Linked DNA regions of Lonchura striata. The protein of the gene in region 1 interacts with the protein of each later gene in a biochemical or structural test. Links are inferred from orthologs where the notes say so. Each region holds a gene or a part of one and is shown on either strand. Other genes may lie near its edges. The genes, in order: SMAD2, ZFYVE9 and ERBIN.

Region 1 (7,617 bases):
GCTGTCAAACACATAATCAGAGTAAAATGTGATCTGGAATGAAGGCTTACAGTTTGCAACGGAGTTTCTGTCACTGGAAATGGAGAGGAATGTTTAGGAAGGTTTTCTGCAGTAGCCAATTTCTTCTAGCCCAGAGAGTATTGAGCACAGGCTGCCTGTACTCTCCATTCTATTACAAAAACCTAATCCCATCGCATGACCTGCAGCAATTCATTTTAACAAATCAACAATTACAAATATTTTGGCAAAGTAAGCTTAGGTATTGTTTGCCTCTCGGCACAGTTCACAACCAGTTTATGGCTTTATGATAAAAGTCATTAAATCCAATCTGAAAAGCAGAATTTACAGCTCACTTAGCAAGTCAGGCCCATAAATGGATGCTTTCAATTACAGGACATTTACATGCACAACCATTAAGGCAGCACTGAATACATTTGAAAACTGTGGAATACTTTTTATAATAATTAAAACTTTGCGTACTGTTCTTTATACAAACAAAACTTAGGAATTTGCTTCAGCCTCAAGAGAGCTCAGATTCATTGTCACCCAGAACATACCACAAAGCCTGTTCTCCCAGTACTTTTGTGGGAAAGGGATTAGAGAGATGGAAACAAGGTTTGTTTTTTAAAGTTGCCCTCAGTAGCAGGCAGGGTTTTTTGAGCTCAAATAAACTCAATTGTATCAACTGGTGCTCAAGACTTCTGAAAGATCAAGTGGAACGGGAAGAGGGAGGAGGACCCAGGGAGAACCTTTCATTTGGAGATTCACTGTGTAATTCCAGGGTATTTGATTTTGGTGAATCTAGCTGCTGGGTGGAAGGAAACAAGAAAACAGCACAGAGACCAATTCTTTAACCTCATTTTTTCAATTGTCTGAGTTGTTTTCTTCCTTTCACTGTTAAACAGAACCTCAGGATAGCTGATGAATTCTTCTCCAAGGCTCTATCATGCATATCCAGCCTCTTCAGTAAAGAAAACTGGATCTTCAAACATACTCCTTTTGTTGACTGTGTATCTGACCCATACAACTGCAGAACAACAATCAGCTGCCAGGCTACTCTTTTCAACACCCCAATATGCTGTTCAACAGATGCTCAGACTCATCTTAAAGTGGAAACCACCTTAAACAAGACCCTCCCCTTCCACTTCTTAAAAGCATTTGTAACTAATGTTATCTTTCATCATGACAGTGCTAAGCAAAGGGGGGAAGGGACTTCACAAACACCTCCTTTACTCACACTCTCATCCCCCCCGAATTCGCCAGAGCTTGTAAACGTTAGAAGTTTGAAAGCTGTGCCTCAGAACGAGCACACAAACAACCCACTCACGCACCAACACCTCGACAAAGCATGAGAAAATCTAAACAAGCAACCTCGCTCTGCTGGCCTCTCACCTCAAGCAGAGGGTGTTTCTTTTCCAGCCTGGAGAACAGAGCAACAGCTAATCAGTGCCTCGCTGCAGAGGCCAGGCCCCACAGAAGTAATGTCATGAATCAGTTTGAAAGTACAGCTCTCCAGGCTAAGACACAACACTTGAGAAAAGACAAACCTGCTGCTACCTGCGGTCTCCTAACAAGCTGCTATTATAAACCTCTCGCTGCTGATGGAATCTAACCCGTTTATACCCCTGGACTGTGAGAGCATGAGCTCCACACACAATACACAAAGGTTTTTGGAGACACTCATTTTGGCAAACCCTGTAAATAAACTCTTTCCTAATGCTATCCCGCTCGCAAGCATTTGCAAAGAGCATAATACACGTGTTGGGTTTCTCTCAGTCAGAAACTGTGACGGACAACCAGAGAGACACAAGACCAGCCTGCAGCCTGAATCCCAGCTGCTCAACAGCTCTCCACAATCATCACAAGAGCTCTTCATTCATTCACACGCTTTTTTCCGTTCTTTTATTTCCCCAGAGTGAACACTAGAAGACCATGCTGTATTGCACTTCTCTTCCCCTCCACTCTGCACAAAACGAAAAAAAAAAAAAAAAAGAAAAAACCCCTACAAACAGGAACTCCACAACTCTGCAGCAACAACACCAACCACTTGCCCTTATCACGACACAGCTTCCTCAGTGCACTTATCGAGAGATGAGACATTACCAGGTTGTGTGTGTTTACAAACAACACCCAGGGATGGAGTTGCCACAGCTCCTCTGGGAACCTGTGTCAGCACCTCGCTGCCCTCTCAGGAATTTCTCCCCAGAACCCCACCTGCCTCTGCCCTCTGACAACACACAGCTTTAAAGGCAGGAATAAAACCAGTGATCTCAAGTCCTGTCTCACGTGGGCTGCTGTGTGTCTCTTACACCCGCGGCTCTGCAGACGAGGAGAGGGGACAGACAAAAGGGTGAGGTGAAGCCTCGCAGTCCCAAACACAAACTCCTAGCTCCAAAACACAACTCCTCGCCCCACACCGCTCCCAACTTTCTTCTCCAAAACTCCAGGGAGTGCCGCACACCTAACCCTGCCTGCATGTCCAGGAGGCACACAGGGGTGTCCTGTGCAGCGCTACGAGCTGGACGCGATGATCCTCGCGGGATGCCTTCCAGCTCGGCATATTCGGCGGACCCCTGCAAGGAAAACACACCGGGCACGACGGGAGGCAGCGGGGGAGAGAAGGAGCACAACTTCTTTATTCCTCCCTCCCCTCACCCACACACACACACAGACACACACACACAGCGCGGCCCTCCCAGCACAGCTCGGGGGCAATGCCGGCGGGAGCAGGATAACCTAGCCCGGGTCCCACCACAACAAAAAGGGCGAGGGCGTAGGGAGGCGCCCCCGGCCCCGCCGGGACCAGGCCCGGACGGTTCCTCACGGCCCGCGCAGCGCCAGCGGGGCGACCCTGCCCAGGGGGCAAGGACCCCGGGCCCGGCATCCACCAGCACGCACCGGGAGCCACCAGGATCCGCCGAGAGCCACCGCTCCTTGCCCTCCTTCTTCCTCCTCTCCCCTTCCTTATCCTCCTCCGTCTCCCCGAGTGCGGTGCGGCCGCCGCCTCTTCCCTCAGCGTTACCTCCTCTGAGGGCCCGCCCCCCGCAACGCCCCGCCCCCGCCGCTGGGCGGGGAGGCCGCCCATTGGCCGCATTTACCTTCTCTCTAAGCAGCCGCACTGTGATTGGTCCAGAGATCTAACTGGCAGTCAGGATCGCCAATGGAGTGCCCGCAACGTTAAAAAAAAAATAAGACAAGGGAAGGGGAGTGGGAGAAACAGGCGTGAGGCGGAGGGAGGCGGGCCGTGGCCGCAGCGCTGATTGGTTGGGTCGGCTGTCAGTCACGGCGCGCGCGCCCGCCGCGGGAGGCTGAGCGGAGGTTTGGCTGAGCCGCAGCAGCGCAGCCGCAGTGCGGCTCTGTCCCCGCTCCGTATCCTTCCGCGGCGGGCGCGACGGGAGCTGAGAAAGAGTGCGTGGATTCCCGGCGGGAATTGCCGCTGAGCTCCGGCTGGGCTCTGCAGCGGTGGGCAGTGACCCCTGGGCTGTCCCAGCCAGGGTGTGACACAGCCCCAGGGCAGTGCCCGTCCCTGTGCTGGCACTGCTGAGACACCTCCAGTGCTGGGGACAGCTCTGGCCCCTCAGGACAAGAGAGACACTGAGGGGCTGCAGCGTGTCCAGGGCAGGGAACGGAGCTGGGAAGGGACTGAGCCCCAGGAGCGGCTGAGGGAGCTGGGAAGGGGCTGAGCCTGGAGAAAAGGAGGCTCAGGGGGACCTTGTGGCTCTGCACAGCTCCTGACAGGAGGGGACAGCCATGGGGACAGCTCTGCTCCAGGAACAGGGACAGGAGGAGAGGGAATGGCTCAGGTGAAGTTGAGGTTGGATATTGGGAAAATTCCTTCATGGAAAGGGCTGTGCTGCCCTGGCACACCTGCCCAAGGCAATGATGGAGTCCCCATCCCTGCAGGGATTTAAAAGCCATTGGATGTGGCACTTGGGGACAGGGATCAGCAGTGGCCATGGCAGTGCTGGTGTCACAGCTGGACTCAGGTCTTGGTGGGCTTCTCCAGCCTAAACGATTTTGTGGTTCTAAATAGATTCCAACTGCCCACAGCCCCGCAATGGCACAAGAGCTCCAGGGTGGCTGTCCCCAGGTGTGACACGGACACAAGGCAGCCCCAAAGCCTGCCCAGCCTCCCTCTGCTGCCTGCCCCCCAAGCTCACAAACTCTTAACCCCCCCCATATGTTAGGGGGGTTTTTTTAGCTACTGCCTTCAAGAGTCTTTGCAATGCTTGGACCACTTGTGTTGAGGTAATGGTGAAAAGTAACCAAATTCCTGTGCCCCAGCAGGGGCCCAGGGTCACCATAAGGAAATCAGAGCCTGTTACCTGGCAGTGCATGTTTGGGGACCTGTCTGTGAAACCCATGGGGCTCTGTTGTGCCTTGCAGTGATGCCCAGCAGATTCCCTGGAGCTGTTCATCCTGGGAAAGACAAGTTTGTGGAGACCTCACAGAACCTTCCAGTATCCTAAAGGGCCCACCAGGAAGACAGAGAAGAACTCTCTGTCAGGAACTGCAATGACAGGACAAGGGGGAATGGGTAGAAATTAAAAGAGGGGATCTTTAGGCTAGATCTTAGAAAGAAATTCTTTGCTATGAGGGTGGAGGGACACTGGGACATGTTGTCCAAGGAGGTAATGGATTCTCCAACCCTGGAAGTGCTCAAAGCCAGGTTGGACGGGGCTTGGGGCAACCTGTCTAGTGGAAGGTGTTCCTACACATGGCAGTGGGGGTCACGACTAGAAGAACACTAAGGTTACTTCCAACCCCTTAACATTGTATGATTTTATGAGTGGGAAGCCACAAGGTGGGATTTTAATGGGGTTTTTTGGGGATGAGAAGGTCTGTTCCAGATTTGCTATAAGTCTGTTGGAGGTACTCTGTTTTTTTTGCTTTTGTCTTTTTGATACTTTAGTATATATCATCTATCTTCACTTCAAGCCACTTCCTTTACACCTGAGGTCACATCTCCCTAACTTTGTCTCTCCAGAGTCATGCTCATCTTCTAGACTGAAAAGGTTTCTGCACTCAGTGGTGTAGGTGTTATGATTCTGTGTCTAGGGCACAGGTCCCATCTCCACAAGGCTGGTATTCCCAGGAGCAAGGTGAATCACCTCAGAATATTTAGCCCTTCTACAGAATGTGGATTCACAGAAATCCCCCTCTTGCCTCTTCTGTGCCTGGATTCTCCCAGCTTGAAGCAAACGTGGCTTATTTTTTTGGTAGCATTTTCAGCCAGCCCCAAACGTTTGAGATTCAAGCTGGTCATGAAATCAACAGTGAAGTGGAGAAGATCCCCTCTGCAGAGAAAGCAGAGCATCTGAGAGCTTGCCATCATGTTTTTGGAAGATAAGGTGTCCCAGTAATGTTGTGCCTGGAAACATATACAGACTATTCAGCTAGCATTGCACTTGCTTTGTGGAGGTTTTGCTGCATTCAGAGAGATTTTTTTTTTTTATGAAGAGTAATTTAATTAAGCTCAATTTTCATATGGATTTGCGTCAGACATTCCCTTCACCTCTCCTCTGCAACAGATTCATAGCTCTCTCTCCTCCTATCTCCAAGGTTGATTCCTGATACATCCAAGCCTCCCTACTACACAACTTATTGGTGTTTGCCTTCTTTCTGGAGCAGCACATGCTGTACCTGGTTCAGGGATGTGTGTGCTCTGGCTGGCCAGCTGCCTGCCCCTTATCTACTGCCAAGGAAGCCAAGCAGTGCTGATAAGGGCTGAGCTCTCCCTGCCTTTCTCCCCAGCAGAGCACTTAACAACATGTGTCTTCTCTAATATAGCTGCTGTTTGCCATGAAGCTTGACAGGCTTTGTGTTTCCAGAAGCTCTACTTCTCTTTCAGGTGTGGTTGAAATCAGTCAAAAGGTTGGCCAGCTTATGCTGGGGGATTCTGACATACACACACACACAAAAATCCAACATTTGCATAAACCTTTCTCTAGGAAATAAAATTGCAAGCAGCAGCAGGAAGACAGCCAATGGAAGAAGGCAGCATCACGGCTTTAAATCCCAGAGCCCAGAAGTTGCTTCAGAAGCAGGGTGGCTGTGGAGAAGGCAGGCAGGCAGGATGTGCGTATGCTCTAGAAAGAGCTCCTAGCTGTATGCCTACACCTCCAGGAAGAGCATTGATTTAGATTGGGAATTAGAAAGATTGGGTTTTTTTTGATGAGGGTGATGAAACACTGGCACAGATTGGCCAGAGAGCTGGTGGATGCTGCATCCCTGGGAACACTCAAGGTCAGGTTTGACAGGGGTTTCAGACACCTGATCTCATTGAAGATATCCCTGTCTTTGGCAGGGGAGTTAGACTGGACGACCTTTAAAAGTCTCATCCAAATCCAAACCCAAACTATTTTATAATTCCATGAAATAATACTTGATTTAGTAAAACAAATAGCAAAACTCCATCACTGACACCAAAGCTGGATATTGTTATGTCTTATTAATTAATCACAGAATTCTAGAGTGGTTTCGGTTGGAAGGCTGGAAGACTGGAAGGCTGGAAGTTCATCTCATTCCACTCCCCTGTCATGGGTAGGGACACTTTCCACTATCCCAGGTTCCTCCAAGCCCTGTCCAGCCTGGCCTTGGATACTCCCAGGGATCCAGGGGTAGTCACAGCTTCTCTGGGCAACCTGTGCCAGGATCTCACCCTGAAGGCAAGAATTTCTTCCTAAAATCTTTCTTAAGTCTTTCCATTTTGTAGTTTAAAACCATTTCCACTTGCCCTTTCACTGTCTTCTGTGTAAAAAGTTGCTCTCTGTCTTTTTATAAGCCCTCAGTGAGGTCTCCCTGGAGCCTTCCCTTCTCCAGGTGAGCATCCCCAGCTCTCCCAGGCTTGGTCCAGAGCAGAGGGGCTTCAGCCCTGGGAGCTTCTCCGTAGCATCCTCTGGACTCACTCCAGGTCCACACATTTCTCAAACCAGGTAGCTCAGCACATTTTGGACAAAAGGCTGTCAGTCCCATTTGGACTTGAGGCTGCAGTGCAAGAACATGAGCATCTCTCTTAGGGTCTCTCTGAATGTGTGTGAGAGTTTCAACATCCTCTCAAAGGATCTTCATGTGCAGGGACAACAGCTCCATGGTATCTGTCATCTGTCTGCTAAAAGGAACAAAGGAGGTTGAGCAGCTTGGTCTAGTGGAAGGTGTCCTGCCTGTGGAATAAGATGATCTGCAAGGTCCCTTCAAACCCAAACCATTCTGTGATTGTATGAATTAAACCTAGGACCTGAAAAAACATGATGAAGCAGTAGCTGGCAGTGCTGTGCTATAGTGCATACATGGTGACATCCCAAAGCCTGTGACCAAAGGAACTACAACATCAATATCAGGTAACTTCAAAGACACCTGGGATTTTTGAATGGCCCAACAGTAGCAGAGGTAGAAACAAGTGCAAAGTGCAATGCCATCAAGAAAGGTCTTGGAGGCAGAGTAGATAGTTTTTATGTTGAGGTCATTATTACCAACATGTCAAAATGATGTGTTAAACTGAAAAAAAAAATTGAAGAACTTTGAGCTGAGTTATGATACAGAAAGATCAGTTCAAGGCAGATAAAAATGTATGACTGGGGTAATCCTCACCCTGGTCTGCAGCTTCCTCATGAGGGG
Region 2 (8,000 bases), on another chromosome or scaffold:
ATTTAATCCCCAGCCTCGTAACTGACTCAAAGCTAACACACAAAAATAACACCCAATATCAGGAGTCAGCATGGCAGTTTTGGGGTGGGTTTCTTCCTTTCTCACACACTAAAGGAGGCACCATAAAGCAATGCAAATAAATCACAGTGTGTCAGAACATGGCAACTTGTTCAGGGCTGATCAGGGCTTCAATTAGAGGGGGAGGCTTGTTTGAAATTTTAGACCCTTCTTCAGCTTCCATTTCAGATTCCCCAAACTTCTGAAGAGATTTTTAAATTTGTCTCTCTTGGGTCAAGGAGACTGATCTTCTCATTTTGCATCACATGCCGTAACTTTATAAAAAGCACACAGAAGGTTCAAGCAGTAACAAAGGATTTGGATGTTTCAGCCACTGAAGGTGTATCTAAAATCTGAGTTTGTTCCATGCAATCAAAAATTATTTGCTAATAGAAGTTAATCACAATGTTTTAAAGCCTTGCCTAGTCAGTTAAATGCTGCCCAAAGAAAAGAAAGGCTTTTATTCAGGTAGACCATCTTTTTCATTATTACTATTTTATTTGTTTTTACACGGTTCCTTCCAGGTTTGAGTTCAGTCTGGACCCAAAAACTGAAGAGAGGGTTATTCAGAAATTCTAATCTGAGACACTTAATAGAAGATTGATGAAACTCAGTTAACTTTTAATATCTGAACGGAATGAAAATATGTGTAAAAATGCCACCCTCTGAAAAACCTCTGTCATAAAATAATAAGGAACATCCTGTCTATAAATAAAGAAGATCGTTTACAAGAAAACATAAAGTCTAACAATTTCTATCTGCTACTTGCTTCTCTATCTGGTTAAGAAGATAAAAACATTTATTGAGCCACACTCTGCCACAGGCACATATTTAGCCATAACATTTATGAGCAAGAAACTAGCCTACCTCTGCAAAAAGTCTGACATGCCAAGAGTGCCAGTTATTCTTAGAGTGAGACATGACCACAATTTCACGTAATTAGAGATGTTATAAAACGCATCCCGCCCGCTCTCCCCATCCCCCTCCACCACTACCACCATTGCAGGAGTGACTTGTTACACATCGCGATGAGCAAGTAACATTCCCTGCCCGGGGAGAGAGCGGAGATCAGGCCATAAAAAGGGCACGAGATGCAAACAGGGATCCTCCCCTGCCCGGGCCGGCAGCCGCGGCTGCCCGGGCACAACCTCGCCCTGCCCCGCGCCGGCACCCGAGGCGTCCCGGGGGGAGCAGCAGCTCCTTCCCCATCCCCGGGATCGCCGGCGCGGGGAGAAAGGTGCCCCGGGCGAGCGGGTCACCAAGTCCGGACGCCCGGGGACGGAGGGGGAACGGCGGGGAGAGGGCTCGAAGGACCACGGCGGCCGCCGGGGAGGGCTGGGGGGCGACCGCTGCCTTCCCCTTGGTGGCGTGCCGAGGACGAGGGTGGCGGGGCAGGGGGCGCCCGGAGCCGGCAGGCCCAGGGCGCTGTCGGCGATACGGCGGCTCCACCGATGCGCCGGAGCCCTCCCCGCCCGCCCGCCCGCGGGGCCTCGCTGCGGGCGGCGGGGGGCCTGGGGAGCGGGGTACCCCGGCCTTCCGGGCCCGCGGGAGACGCGCCGGACGCCGCTCACTCACCTCGAGAGGCAGCAGGCGCCGCCGGGTCTGCATGGCGAGGGGGATCTCCCGGGTCCGCCCGGGAGCGCTGGGGGCCGGCGCGCCCTCGCCGCCGCCAGCCGGGCTCGCTCGCTGCCTCCGCGGCCAAGGCCGCCGCAGCGCCCGGCAGCAGCGCCCCCTGCCCGGGCCCGGCGGCAGCGCACGGCACTGCGGCACCGCCGGGGAGGCGGCGCGCAGCGGCCGCGCCCCCGCCCCGCGCCGCGGGGTCCGCGCCCGCACCTCCGCACCGGGCCCGGGGTCCTCACCGGCACCCCCGCAGCGGCCGCACAGCGGGAGCAGCCGCCCGCTCTGTCCCCGCGGGGACTCGCCGAGGCCGCGGCTTCCGCAGCCACACAGCCACACACACGCACAGAGGCCGAGGCGGCACCGGGCACCCACCGCCGCTACCGGGCGCTGCCGGTGCCCTGCGGCCGAGGGACCGAGGGACGCGCCTCCGGGCAGCCGCTGCAATGTGTGTAGTGTGATCGCTCCACGAAACCTGGTCAGAAGAACTCGCAGCTGGGAGCCGAACATGTGTTATTTCGCCATTTCATGTTGAGTGTCTCCACAATCGGAGAGGGACACCATCCTGCGGGACGCCCTCGGCTGCCCCGAGAGGTGCGAGGCCCGGAGCCGTCCGCTGGCAGACACGTTCAGTCCTCAGCAAAGAGGCTTCCAGAAATTAAAAAATAAAAATAAAATAAAAATAAAATAAAATAAAATAAAAATATAAACACAACAAATTAAAAAAGAAAGAAAAAAAACAAAAACAACCAACCGCACAACAACCAACAACCCCGCTCGCTCCCCACAGGAGCCGCGATATAGCGAGCCGACAGTGCCAAAGCGTGACACTGCGCCCGGAGTCCCGCCCGTTCTCTCTCCAACAGGAGGCGGCCGCCCATGCCGGCAGCGGGACTCTTCGCTGCTGCGGGCGCTCGGAACTCCAGGAAATGTCACTCCCCGAGTGTGCCGCGGCCCGGCGGGCGCGGGGCGGGCGGCGAGCGGCCGGCGCCGGGCTGCGGGCCGGCTCCGGGCTGCGGAGCGGCGCCGGGCTGCGGAGCGGCTCCGGGCTGCGGAGCGGCTCCGGGCTGCGGGCCGGCTCCGGGCTGCGGAGCGGCGCCGGGCTGCGGAGCGGCACAACGCGCCCTCACCGCCGCCTCAGCCTCAGCCGGGCGAGCGAGCGCCCAGCGCCTCACGAACCCTCGCCCCTCGCCTCAGGAACCCCTCATCGCCCTCCTCAGGAAGCCCTCACCTCAGGAACACCCCACCCCTCGCCTCAGGAAACCATCACCTCGGTTCCCCCTCAGGAAAGGTTCGCTTGGTGCCAGGGGAATGGGAAGGAGTCGCTGTCCCCTCACCTTTGTGCAGGTCCGTGATCCCCCGGCTGCAGCAGTGCCATGTCAGCCCAGGAAGGAGGGAAAGGTGAGTGTGCTGGCTGCTAATGCAGTTGCAGGGCCATTCCCTCTTCTTCACACTTACAGGAAGCCCATCACTTTCCAGCAGGTTGGGCTTCTCCATAAACTTGCCACATATGTCAGTGAACTCAGTGTAATGAGCCCCGGTGATAAAAACTAGGCCTCCTTGCTCCAAGAGCATCAGCCCATCCTGCTTGAAATGAAAGGGAGGCACTTAATGTTTATTCATTGATTCTGGTGGAACTATGTGCTTTTCAAGCGAAAAATATGAGATACTCCCAATCAACTGAATCATCAATCCATGGGCAAATAGCTGAGGAGATAAAAAATGCTCATCCATCATAGCTGGAAGTAGCATGTTAATGGAGATGGAATTTATTTACTCCCATAAAGCATTCCTGGTTAACCCCAACTTGCTATCTCTTTAGCAATTAGTGTTGTCATGCTTGTGAAGCACAGATGAGGGGTTCAGATTGGTGCAATACACCATTACTGTCCTCAAAATGGTTCTCATGAAGCACCTCAGACTGATAAACATACAATATGCCTGACAAAAAAAGGGAAATTAATTAAAGAGTGAGTGGCATAACACTCCATAACCTCTGGCCAAATGCATGCAAGTGCATAGCTTTGCCATCTGTGATCTACCTCACGGAGGCATATTGCTACCATAATTTTTTTCTGCTTTTATTCCTCTGGATACAGCCATTTACTGGGATATCTTCTCACCAAAAACAGAGAGGTTTTTCCTGAAGGGTATCATAACTGGCTGTTTTGCAAGAAGGCAAAGCATGAAAGCATGCAAAACAGGAGTTAGGAGCAATGGGAATAATTTCTGTGAGTTAAGGTGATGGTCTCATTCCCCATTCCCCCTGGGTAGCTTGGATGCCTCATGACTTGTTCCTAATGAAGATGTATCTAGAGAAGCAGCAAACTCCACAAACTCCAGGAGCTGCTCCAGGCAGTTGTGGTGCCAGACACCTGAGCTTAGAGCAGGGAAATTGCCCATCCTGTGTTCTCAATGTGCTCCCTCTGCTAGAAGAAGAAACATTTCAATATTGATAGTGAGAAACACTGTGAACAAACCAAAGGAATAATTTTAATCCCAAGCCACAGCAAGGCTGTAAGACCATGGACCATGACCTTTCACTTGGCACAAGAGTCCGAGTTACAAACTCTCCAAAATGGATCTGCAGCTCTTCCATGTCTGTGGGCCTCCACAGCACTGTCATAAGAAATGGTGCCTGATACTATCCCACGGGACACCTTACTATTGAGCTTGCCACCTCTTTTCCCAAGTATTTTTCCCAGCTCTTTATGAGAAAGGCATAAAGGAGAGAAGAGGATACTCCAATTTGCAAAAGGCAGGGGATGGGAAAGGGGGAAAGAGGTCCACACTTAGAAAGGTGAAGGGAACCTCTGAGGTGCCCTGGTTGCAGGGAGTAGCACAGAGTTACAGGGTCAATACAAAGATGTATGTAACAATGTGTGTACTCTGGGATCTAGGAGTTCCAGGGAATTCAAAATTATGCCAGAGTAATCTTTGAACTGCAGAGTTAAGGACAAATAAGAGGATTTTTAAACTATGTGGTAAAACTTGCAGAAACCTGGAGAAAAGGAAGTTTCATACTGTCTTCACTCTGTTCCTAGGCAGAAATAGTGGAACAGTTAACAACAGTGTAGGAAAGGCAGAAGAACTCAATAACTATTCCTGGTCTGTTTTTTGGGGAAGAGCCATATGATACACAAATATCATATGATGATGAAATACATTCCATTACAACAAGCACTGAGGAGGATGTTAAACAGAAGCTAATGAAGTTGGCTATCAGCAGGTCCAGGTAACTTGCATCCAACAGTTTTAAAAGCACTGGCACAGAGTATCTTTAGACCATTAATGTTGATTTTCAATAAATCTTGGAACACTGTTAAAGTTCCAGAGGACTGGATGAAATATTGTACCAATATTTTTAAAGGGTAAACAAGGTGACCAAGGTAATTACAACCTGCCAGACTGACAAGAATTCTGGGTAATAAAATGGGACATTATCTACATTACTTGATTGAAAAAGAATTAAAGAGTGGAAACACAATAACTACAAATTAATGTGGAAAATAAATCTTGTGAAAATAATTTTATTTTTTAAATGGCATTACAAGTTTGGTTGATGAAGGTAAGTAGGTCTGCAAAATCTTTGTTCTGGTAACTTGCAGCATTTTAATTAAGAAGCCAAAATGCTACCGACTCATCACAGCACTTATTGAACTGTTGAGACTCTAACTAACTGACAGTTACAAAATGGGAAAATAAAAAGCCATCATCAAAGAATGTGTTTCTGCATCCTATGGCAATTAGTTCTACACTGCATTGTATTGATATTAATAGTTTTAAGAAAAACATAAAATCATCACTTAAAGAGTTTGCAAGTGTTGTAAGCAATAGGGATTAATAAATAACAAGTCATGCTGCAAAGTAGCTGAGACAGCTTGATAGCAAGTAATGTGCATTTCTGTACAGCCAAATGTAAAAACATGCATCAAGGAATAGAGGGAGTGATTTTAGGATGAGAGAATTTGTGCTTTTATAAGTTAATGCTCAAAAACCTCAAGAATCATCACATATAATCAGGAGAAAATAAGCAGGTGGTGTGATGCTGTAGCCAAGAGGATAATGCAATCCTTGGGCTTATAAACAGGAGAATATAGAAAGATATCTCTATTTATTTTTCTGGTACTAATCCAACTGCTCCTGATACCTAAACTCCTTAATTCCTTAATAGAAGCTGAAAAAGAGATGGTTCAGAGAAGATCAATAAGAATGATTTAGACTGAAAATGAAAAGGTTCAACCTATTTCAGTGTCAATAAAGAAGATATAGGGGTGACTCAATCACACATTTTAAGGACCTTCAAGATTCAGTGAGTGTATGCAGATGTATTCATCTTCCTGTGAGGTCTTCTACCAGGGAAGGTAATTAATAACCAGGACAGTTTAGGATGGGACAAGCTGGATTTCCCAGCACTGGGAATGTCAAAATCAGGAGGTTGTAAAAACTTAATTTTAACAGAAGCAGGAGTTCAGTCCTGTAAGTCTGCTCCCCGGGAGGTAGAACTCTGTGTCTATAGCTGTGAATTCTGGCTGCTTGTCTATGCAGAAGTTGATTTCCTAGGGCACTAAGAAGTAACAACCTGTCATCCCTTTCAGCATCATCTGACACAGCTCATGTGCTGTTCAGCACATGATGGGAGCAGCCGTGGGGAAGGCAGTGTTTACAATGGTTGAAGAGAAGGGTGGACTTGTTCACAGAAGGCAAAGCCTTTGTAGCATATTGCATACCAAGATAACTTTTCTCACTCAGGAAGCCTGAGACATGCATTGCTGGAAGCTGGGAGGATACTCCTGATATGTGTGCCTATATGATTTTCCTGCTACTAAACTCTTCCTCTAGCATCTGCTTCTGGCCACTGTCACAGACAGCACATTGATCTTGTGCAAAGCAGTCTCTCAGGTCCACCCAAAGCTGACCCACACCTGATCTCTGAAAAGTGCAGTGGGAAATTTAGTGTGAGCAGAGAATAGGTGCTTGAAACATGCATTGCACAGGAGAGGGCAAGAACCAGTAGAGAGAACAAGAATTCTTGATATTAGAAGGTCAAAGGCTGACTTGGGTAGGGGATTGCACGTAAGGCTCTGATGTATCCAAACTCTGTTATTGAAACATTCCGAAATCTCAGTCTGATCTGGTACCGTCAAAAAACTAGAAAACTTTGCAGCAAAATGTTAATTACTTTCCCAACATAGTTCCTGATAAAAGTGCTCAGCCTTCTACTGATATGCAAAATCTCGAGTAGGAAAGGGCTGTGCTGTGAGCCTAAGAGTCCAAACCTCTTGAGTGACTGAAGCTTTTATTCACAGTTCCATGGAAGAAAATGTTGGCTTTTTTTCTGCGCAGTTGCTAATAACTGCTTGCCTGCCACACTTTGACAGAAACAATACTCTAAGTATTCATTCCTAACGCCGTTCGTAGTGAAGGGCTTAGTGATCATTTAATCAGTTTTTGTTGTAAAATAAACGCCCTCGCTGATAACATCCTTAGAAAGAGGCGAGCAGACGGCGCTGCCGACTGCAGTGCTGTGGCTTTGCCCTCTAGTGGCTGAGAGACTGGCCCAGCTCCGGTGGTTTCTGTCTCAATACGTTTTGATTACCTCATCAGTCTTGAATCTTTGATTTTTCTAAATTCTGTGCAGTCTTCATCCATTAAACTCAAGTACTACCTGCACTAGAACAATGTAAATCAATAAAATCCTTGGCTTAAGATTCTCAGAATCCTATATTAAGGTTAGCTCAGTATTAGTGAGTCATACGATAAAGCCACTAATACATGGGCACTTAATTAATCTATGATGCATTTTCCACCAGATAGGTCTTAATCTCTTGGAAGGAAAAAGGCCTGCTAGGTCACCATCTCATTGTGTGAGTCAGTTTAGAGTCATTCCATGCTGAATACCTATTCTTATTTTGTCAAGTTTAAATTTTAAATGTGCCATGTATCCTTAGGAGTTAAAAAAAAAAAAAAAAAAAAAAAAAAAAAAAAAGGAAAAAGAAAAAAAGGAAAAAATATTACAATCCTTTTCAACAGTAAACTCAATAGGTTATGCATTTGAAAGGGTTAAAACTTCTTTACTGTCTGTGCTGGCTAAATCTTGAACATCCATAGCTTTTCTGTCCATACGCCAAACACTGGCCTGGAGGCTCTAAGAGATCTGTCTGTATCTGTTTTAAACCTCTATGGGAGCTTGAGAAAGGGCTTTGGACTTAAAGGACATCTCAATTTTTTGTCTTTCCCTCTGGCACCCATTTTAGATTATTACAACAAACTTCATAAGGAAATAGCACTTATTCAATTAAATTGTCGTCCTCTCCCCTTCCCTT
Region 3 (7,157 bases), about 26 Mb from region 1:
TTGCTCCCGTCCCCTTCTATTTCTAGGACTTACTGTTACCATGTGAGGTATAATGTATTGTTACACATGTGCAAGGCTTTCCTTAGCTTTGATCTTCCAAGCATGGCTCTTAATGACTACGAGTAAAGACTCTCAACAAATTCCGCCAAGAACAAATCATAACACAGTTTTCTGAGACCACCGACTTAATATATTAAGAAACTGTCCTTTAGTATTTTCTCCACAGAGCCCCCTTATCCATTCTATATGAACATGATGTGCAAATTGATACCCTACAGAGCTTTATGCTTACACTAAGTATTATCAACTGTGCAGCTTATGCATAAGACAAATCTATTCATATTTTACTAATATAATTATCATCTTAATGATAATCGCATTCCATAGTATGCCATATACTGCAAATTCTATCTCTTTGATTGCAAGCATTCCTTCCTAAAATTACTGATGTTTACTCAAGCTTAATTTAATTCATGAATAAGAACCGGTCAGGTCAAAAGAACATTTCCCCAAGCCATCAACGCATAGCTATAAAAGTGCTGTTTCAAGCACATGAGCTACTATGTGTAAGGTTAAATAATTTTGTTCATAATAAGAATATCAATGTCAGACTGATTTTTAGTTGCGATCATTGACCTCAAGAAAGAACACATCCCTTCATGTTACTCCCAAATTATGTTAATGCCATAATGGCATTCAATGATATAAGCGTGAGCTGTAAGCAGAACTGAATCACACTTTCGTCATTAAAAAGGGCCTTATCCATAGCTACCATGGTGACAAAACACTAGCGTAAGAAGTTGTGCCTCCACTACAAGGAACCATTCTTCTACACAGCATTGAAAAATATCAAGTGCATCATGAGAGACACAAAAGGCCTGAAAAGAAACAAAATTGCCTTGATTATGAACATACTGGTTTACAACTAAATTTGTCATGCACTGCTACAACTCCTCACCCTCCCCTCAAGAATCTCAAGTCATTATTGGGACTGAAACACTGCTCTAGAAAGGGATGGTTCTTTGTAAAAGGATTACTCTATTCAGACTTTCTGCCAAGCATCAGCCACATAAGGAAAGCAAAGTTCACTGCCACTTATTTTGTCCAGATCTTTCTGATGCCTAAGAATAACCCTTACTGCTGCCTGGAAAGGTAAGTCTATAAATTGCAAGTCAAATAATTTATTAGTTATCAACCACTGAACCCACTTTAGACATTTATATGTTAACATTTTTTCTTACACTATACCAACCAGAAGGAGTTGGATTATTTTTTCTTAAAGCACTAAATTACTCACAATGTTAAAGAACGATACTCCTACCTATGTAGGAGTGTTAAAAATTTTGCACAGAAATTACTTTGTCCAAGACTCCCAAATACCAGTACATGTCACACATTGGCAAGACTGAAGCATACACATCCTATCTGACCAACATGTTGCTTCTGAGTTTGACAAACAGAAACAAACGTTCCAGAGCTACGGTTTCTACCTTGTTCTAAACATTCACAATATGAGAAACTCCTTGCCTCCACGAAAGAACTAACCTATAATTGTCGCTTTGATGCATGAAAAATAAACGTGCATCTAGTTAGTTGGTATAACAAGCACTAGAGGTACAAAATCTTACACTAAAACTTCGCATTTAATTTCCTCTTCAACAGCTTCAAAAATTAGTTCTTTCAAAAATTAGAAAGGTGAAAGTGGTCACCAAAATCAACAAGGCTACATTAACAGCTCCAATTGCATGCATTTTAAAGAAGTCAGACAACTAGCTATCTGCTTTGGTTTTGTTCTGTATTTTGTTTTAAATGAAGGTCCTTAAGATGAACTTTGCCAGGATCAAAATGCAGGATAGACCTCCACTGCACAAACTGAAAAATAAGCAGTCCAACTCGTCGATTTGAGAACAGAAAGGGTAAAGGGGAAGAAGACGGGTGACTGCAGCAATCGAAGGTGGAAAAACTGCGACATTTACGGATGACCAGGAGGGCGTATTTTTATAAAGAAACTCAACAGCAACCCTGAAGAAGTCCGGCCAGCCACTAACCGATATTCTAGAAAACAACTCAGACATAAGCACGAAGCATCAAGAGCTTTCGATTAAAAAGAAATATTACCTCCTTCATGACTTTCTCATTTCCCGATAACTTAATTGTACTCGCAGGGTTACCAAACGTTTTGCAAGGGAGGGAGCTGAAGAAGCAGTTACGCAGTCGAGCAGTTTCAGCTCAGTGCCTTCTCGGACCGAACAAAGAAACTTCTGTGTCCGATGAGATTAAAAACTTTCGGTCTCACACTCTTTCCCGGCCTCCATGAAACCAGCGCCTCGGTTCACACGTTCAGGCGAGACGGTGAGAAACACAATGAGCAGCTAACAGGGCAGGCCAAGGCGGAAAACAGAGACAAAATATAAAGGCCAAAAACAGGATATAAAACGAAGCCTGAACTCCTTGCTTTTTTCTCCACCCCCTTCCCAGAGGAAGGATTTTTCTGTTGTTTTTGTTGCTGCTGATCCCAAGCCTTCCCTATTTACCTTAGGTGTCGGGGCGCCGAAACCAGATCCAGGAGGCAGGAGTTTCTTCCGACCCCAAGTTAAATCCAATCGAGTTTCCTTCTTCACGGAGAAAGAGGGCAGAGAACGGGGAGAGGAGGAGAAGGAATATTAGCAGCTTTCGCCGAGGACGAGGGAGTTCGTGCGCACGGGGAGAGGGCTCCAGAGCAGCCGGGCTCCTCCCGCCCCGCCGGTCTCCCCGCGGCCGGCCCCACGTCGCGCCGGCCCCGCCCGGCGGCGACACCGCAGCGCCCCCACCGCCCGGCGCGGCCCGGCGCGGCCCGGCGCGGCCGCCGCCCCTCGCCGCCATGGGCGCCGCCGCTCGCCGCCGGCTGCGCGCCCGGGATCGCGCTGCCCGAGCGCGGCCGCCACCGCCGAGGGCTGAAGGGAAGCGGGATGGCGCCTGCCTCACCTGCCCGCCGCCGCCCGCGCTCCCCGCCTTCTCTCGCACACTTCCCCCTTCTCCCGCGGCTTCAGCCTCCCGCCCCCCTCCCCGGCCTCGGCAGCGGGGGGCCGGGGGAGGCGGCGGAGCTGTGGGAAGAGGGAATGAACGTCCCGGGCAGACACGCGGCGGGGGGAAGGGGAGGTGGCCGCGGGCGAAGCCGCCGCGCCGCTGCTGCTGCCGGCGCCGCGCAGCGCTGGCCAGACGGGGGAGGCACTGCCGCGGCACGGGGGGCGGGGCGGGCGCGGAGCCGGGCCGAGACCTGGCGGGGGCGGGAGCGGGAGCGGGACCGGGCGGGAGCGGGAGCGGCGGGCGCGCCCGCGCTGCTGTGGCGGGCGGGAGGAGGGACGGGCGGACCGCGCCGGGCTGGGGAAGGCCGTGAGGGACGGGCGCTGCGGCCAATGGGGCCCGCGGGGCGGGCTGCGCAGGAACGCGGCGGGGCGGGGGCGGGCGGCAGCGGCGCCGGGCGGGGGCTGCGTTTCGCCGCCGCGGAATGGCTCCACCCGCTGCTGCCCGGTGTGGGGCCTGTCCCAGTGTGGTTTTGCGGCAGAGCGTCAGTCGCACTGACAAATTCACACCTGAGTGACGGAAGTTTCCTCGTTAGCAGCTCAGCTCCGTAATTTAATGGTTGCACACCCTCTGCAGAAAGCGCTGAGGCGCCGGCTCACGCCATCAGGCGCTGGCCATTGCCCCTTCGTGGCCACCCGACCCCTGCCCCCGCACCTTGTGCTGCCTGACTCGCAGCTACCGAGATCTGAGAGAACGAACACACCCAAGGGAAACACTGACGGCCTCCACCCACGCTTTGGTGTTTGGGTATGGTACGTTAAACTTGGATACAAACAACAACAATTAAAATAATGCCGCCCATATTGTCACAATGTTTCACGTAAACCCTGGAACACTGCTGTACTTTTTCTTCCAAATATTTCAACACTGTCAGTACGTTACAACGGTACTGAAAATGCGTGTTGACTGACAAGAGTCATGTTTGAAAAGCAGGCAGTACACAGATCACACGGCTTTGGTATTGGTTGGGTTTGGATTGCAGTAGTACAGGTGTGATCTGAACAGAAGCAGTGAGTTTCTTTTTAATTTCCTGGATTGTTCGAAATGGGTATTTGATAACCTATTGTGTATGCAATATGCCATTTTAAGTGTCCTGGAGCCTGGAGTTCTGTTCAGCCATAACAGAGCACATGAAGCTGACAGCAGGGTGGAATTGTGCATGCTGCTCACCTTATGCTCCTTAATTGTGCTCAGCAGAGACCAAATCTGAGGAGAGGGGTAGTTTTGTTTTCACACTAATTTAATCCCTGGCTACTCTACTGGGACTGCCACCAACTAAGATGGAGTAGTGTTTTATGATGATAATCGGTTTACTGAGAAATTGGCAAAATGCTAAGAAGTGTTATATGAGCCATTGAACAGCAAGGGAAATGCTTTGTCATGTTACTATTGACCTGTCCCTGATTTTAACATAGGACTAGATGAGAAAAGTCCTTTACACCCCTACCAGTCCTTGACAGTAACTCAAATTGATACTTCCTGTTCAGGATCGTTCTTTGCTTCATCTATTTTCTTACAGGGTTTTGAATGAAGGGTTTAACCTTTAGCAACAAAACATAAAGATGATCACATTTTTATGAAAGTCCACTGTGTTTAAGACATTGTGTTCAACAATAGTTATTAATTTTAAACTTCTTGCCTATATATGGGAATTGTACGTTCAAGTATCCAGCTTGTATCCAGATCCAAAAAATAAGCATGCATTCCTACTATGATAATAATACTCACTTACCGTTTCTTTACTTTTCTCCACCTTCACAGAGCATACAGCCCTACTTTGGGGACTACATCTCTGCCTAAATTTAAATAATTAAACTAAATCAAATGTAGTCATCAGAGTTTATAAAAAAGAGAATTGTATGTGTATATATAGATATTTTCCAAAACATTAAATCGCTTCTATTTCTTCTTGTTCAGAAAAGCCATTTTCTTCAAATGAGTCAGCTTTGGACTAAGTCCAAGCAAGAGAACTTTACCCCCACTGACAACAGATTTAGAATTTCTCACTACAGTGCCCTGCAGTGGTACCCTACATTGTGTCTATAATAAAACTATTAATTTTTTAAATCTCTTGCAAATGATTGATCATTCCTGTCATGCACCACATAACATATCCTTACCATAATGTGACTAGCTCTCTGCAACTGATGCCCTCCATCATGAACTCTTCAAGGTACTTTCTTATGTGAATTATCACAACTTTTTAATGTGAAAATATTTTTTGGAAGTGTTTATTGCAAATTGCCCAGTGCATTTATTAATTCAGTAGAATAATAGATAGGTATGAGAATAGTAGCTGTTGCTCAGATGGTGAATCTCCCATAGGTGTTAACATTAGTTGCAATGTAAGATGCTGTTTCACTTACAGTTTTAGCCATCAAAATAAAAGCCTTTCCAAAGTCTGCTGAAACTACAGCTAGCTGGAGCACAGCTACTGAAGATATTTTGCATAGACAAGATATAACTATATGTACAAATTAAGAAAATACCAGGAGTTATCCTAGGGATCTAAATGTGCTATAAATATCAAAACAGAGTCCCCAGCAATATTAATTCCCACAGTTGGTATCCCAGTTACCAAATAATTACAGAGTAGGTGCACAAAGTTACAAAATGAGTCTTTCAAGTGAGACTCTGCATCTGATCCCACTGAACATTTAAACAACTCCTGTATACACACTTTCATGCTGGACATGAAGCCCAAACTCCTCTCATTTTAATTTCTATTTTTATATTTGAAAGGAGCACTAGTAAATACTGCAACAACTTGCAGCTAAATCAAAAGAACATTTGGTGAAACAGTCACCTGTATGTTTCTCTCTCAGGAGTTAAGTGGTCTGAACAATTACTACATAGTTTCTTCTGAGTGACAGGGTTTAATTGCTGCTTTCCCCTATTCTTACTACTGTTGTTCATTATGATTGCATGTTTCCACTTTTCTAGGAAATAGATTGAAAGGCCTCTGGGGTAAGCACTTCTGCTTATTAAATGCTCAGGTAATGACTTGAATGGTGGATTTCAAATCGATTTGAAGTGGAACTTCTGGGCATGACTGCAATACAAATATTAAATAATAATTAGTGGAAGTAATAACCACATTAAAGACACGAAGAGGCAATAAGTAATTCTTTTTCTTTAACAAGTATATATTGAAGTTTATTTTAAATATTCCATAATTTAAATTTGCCAAAATATCTTACTGTAGCATTTTCTGAATTTACGTGGTTCACAGCTGGATGACACCACATTTATGCTGGTGAAATTAACACAAAACTGGTATAATTCAGTGGCAATTAAGTCTTAGAAGTGTATTGCTATAACTTCTACATACATAATGCATTTTTACTATATTTAAAGAGAAGCTAAGTAAACAACTTCTGTTCAGTCTAACTTCACTACAATCCCAAATGTGCACTGGCTAAATACACCATACAAATAAGTTTTTTTCTGTATTTGGTTGCTTTGTTTCTCAAACAGTATAATCAAAGTGATGAATTATTATGCAAGTACCAATAGAAAACCTTGGTAACACCACAACCTATGTTTTTTATGCTGTGTTCTAGAAATTATTAGGAACATTTTAGAATTATTTTTAAGCATTATACTGTTACTTTTTGCTTGTTTTTATCTTCCTTGGTTAGCATGGGAGAGCTGGTGATTTCTGAGGAACATTTGGGACATAGAGGAGCATTTCATGTGAAGGAGCAAGGACAAAAAGGTGGTGTTAAGGTACTTCTACGCTTTCCTGATTTGGACTGCTTTGCTCCTGCCCAGTCTGTTAACACTGATTTTAAGCTATGCTGTAGCCTCTTAGCCTAAGGGTCTGTTTTGACAGCTGATGCCACCACATAAATCTTGTGCTGGTGAAAACAAAGAGAAAGGAATGAAAATGAAGCCATACTATGTGAGAACACTGGCATCTGTAGATCATAGCCAAAAATTCTTTGCTGACTAGTTTAAGACAAAGAGTTACAGATGAAGTTGGCAGAAAGAGCCAACTGCAAAGTTGCCTAAAATAAATCATGTTCTCAGTATGTTGCCTATGCACTGATGGTAGTTTTGGACTACCTTTGCTATGTTCTTGAATCCTAGAA

Evidence for each region.
Region 2: the proteins of SMAD2 (region 1) and ZFYVE9 are reported together in a solved structure, tested with the Homo sapiens proteins (2 studies listed by BioGRID and IntAct, with this or other methods). The link is inferred for Lonchura striata from reciprocal best matches to the Homo sapiens genes SMAD2 and ZFYVE9.
Region 3: the proteins of SMAD2 (region 1) and ERBIN form a complex in vitro, tested with the Homo sapiens proteins (2 studies listed by BioGRID). The link is inferred for Lonchura striata from reciprocal best matches to the Homo sapiens genes SMAD2 and ERBIN.

Annotation. Positions count from the first base shown.
Region 1 is NC_134642.1:2,222,627-2,230,243, reverse strand, and holds the start of SMAD2 (mothers against decapentaplegic homolog 2), read right to left. Parts: upstream 3,027-7,617; 5' UTR 2,899-3,026; intron 1-2,898. UniProt on the Homo sapiens protein: Receptor-regulated SMAD (R-SMAD) that is an intracellular signal transducer and transcriptional modulator activated by TGF-beta (transforming growth factor) and activin type 1 receptor kinases.
Region 2 is NC_134611.1:9,886,192-9,894,191, forward strand, and holds the start of ZFYVE9 (zinc finger FYVE domain-containing protein 9), read right to left. Parts: upstream 3,051-8,000; 5' UTR 3,012-3,050; intron 1,762-3,011; exon of another isoform or gene 1,633-1,761; intron 943-1,632; exon of another isoform or gene 925-942; intron 1-924. UniProt on the Homo sapiens protein: Early endosomal protein that functions to recruit SMAD2/SMAD3 to intracellular membranes and to the TGF-beta receptor.
Region 3 is NC_134642.1:27,979,416-27,986,572, forward strand, and holds the start of ERBIN (erbin), read right to left. Parts: upstream 3,081-7,157; 5' UTR 2,965-3,080; intron 2,768-2,964; exon of another isoform or gene 2,616-2,767; 5' UTR 2,535-2,615; intron 2,373-2,534; 5' UTR 2,119-2,372; intron 1-2,118. UniProt on the Homo sapiens protein: Acts as an adapter for the receptor ERBB2, in epithelia. By binding the unphosphorylated 'Tyr-1248' of receptor ERBB2, it may contribute to stabilize this unphosphorylated state.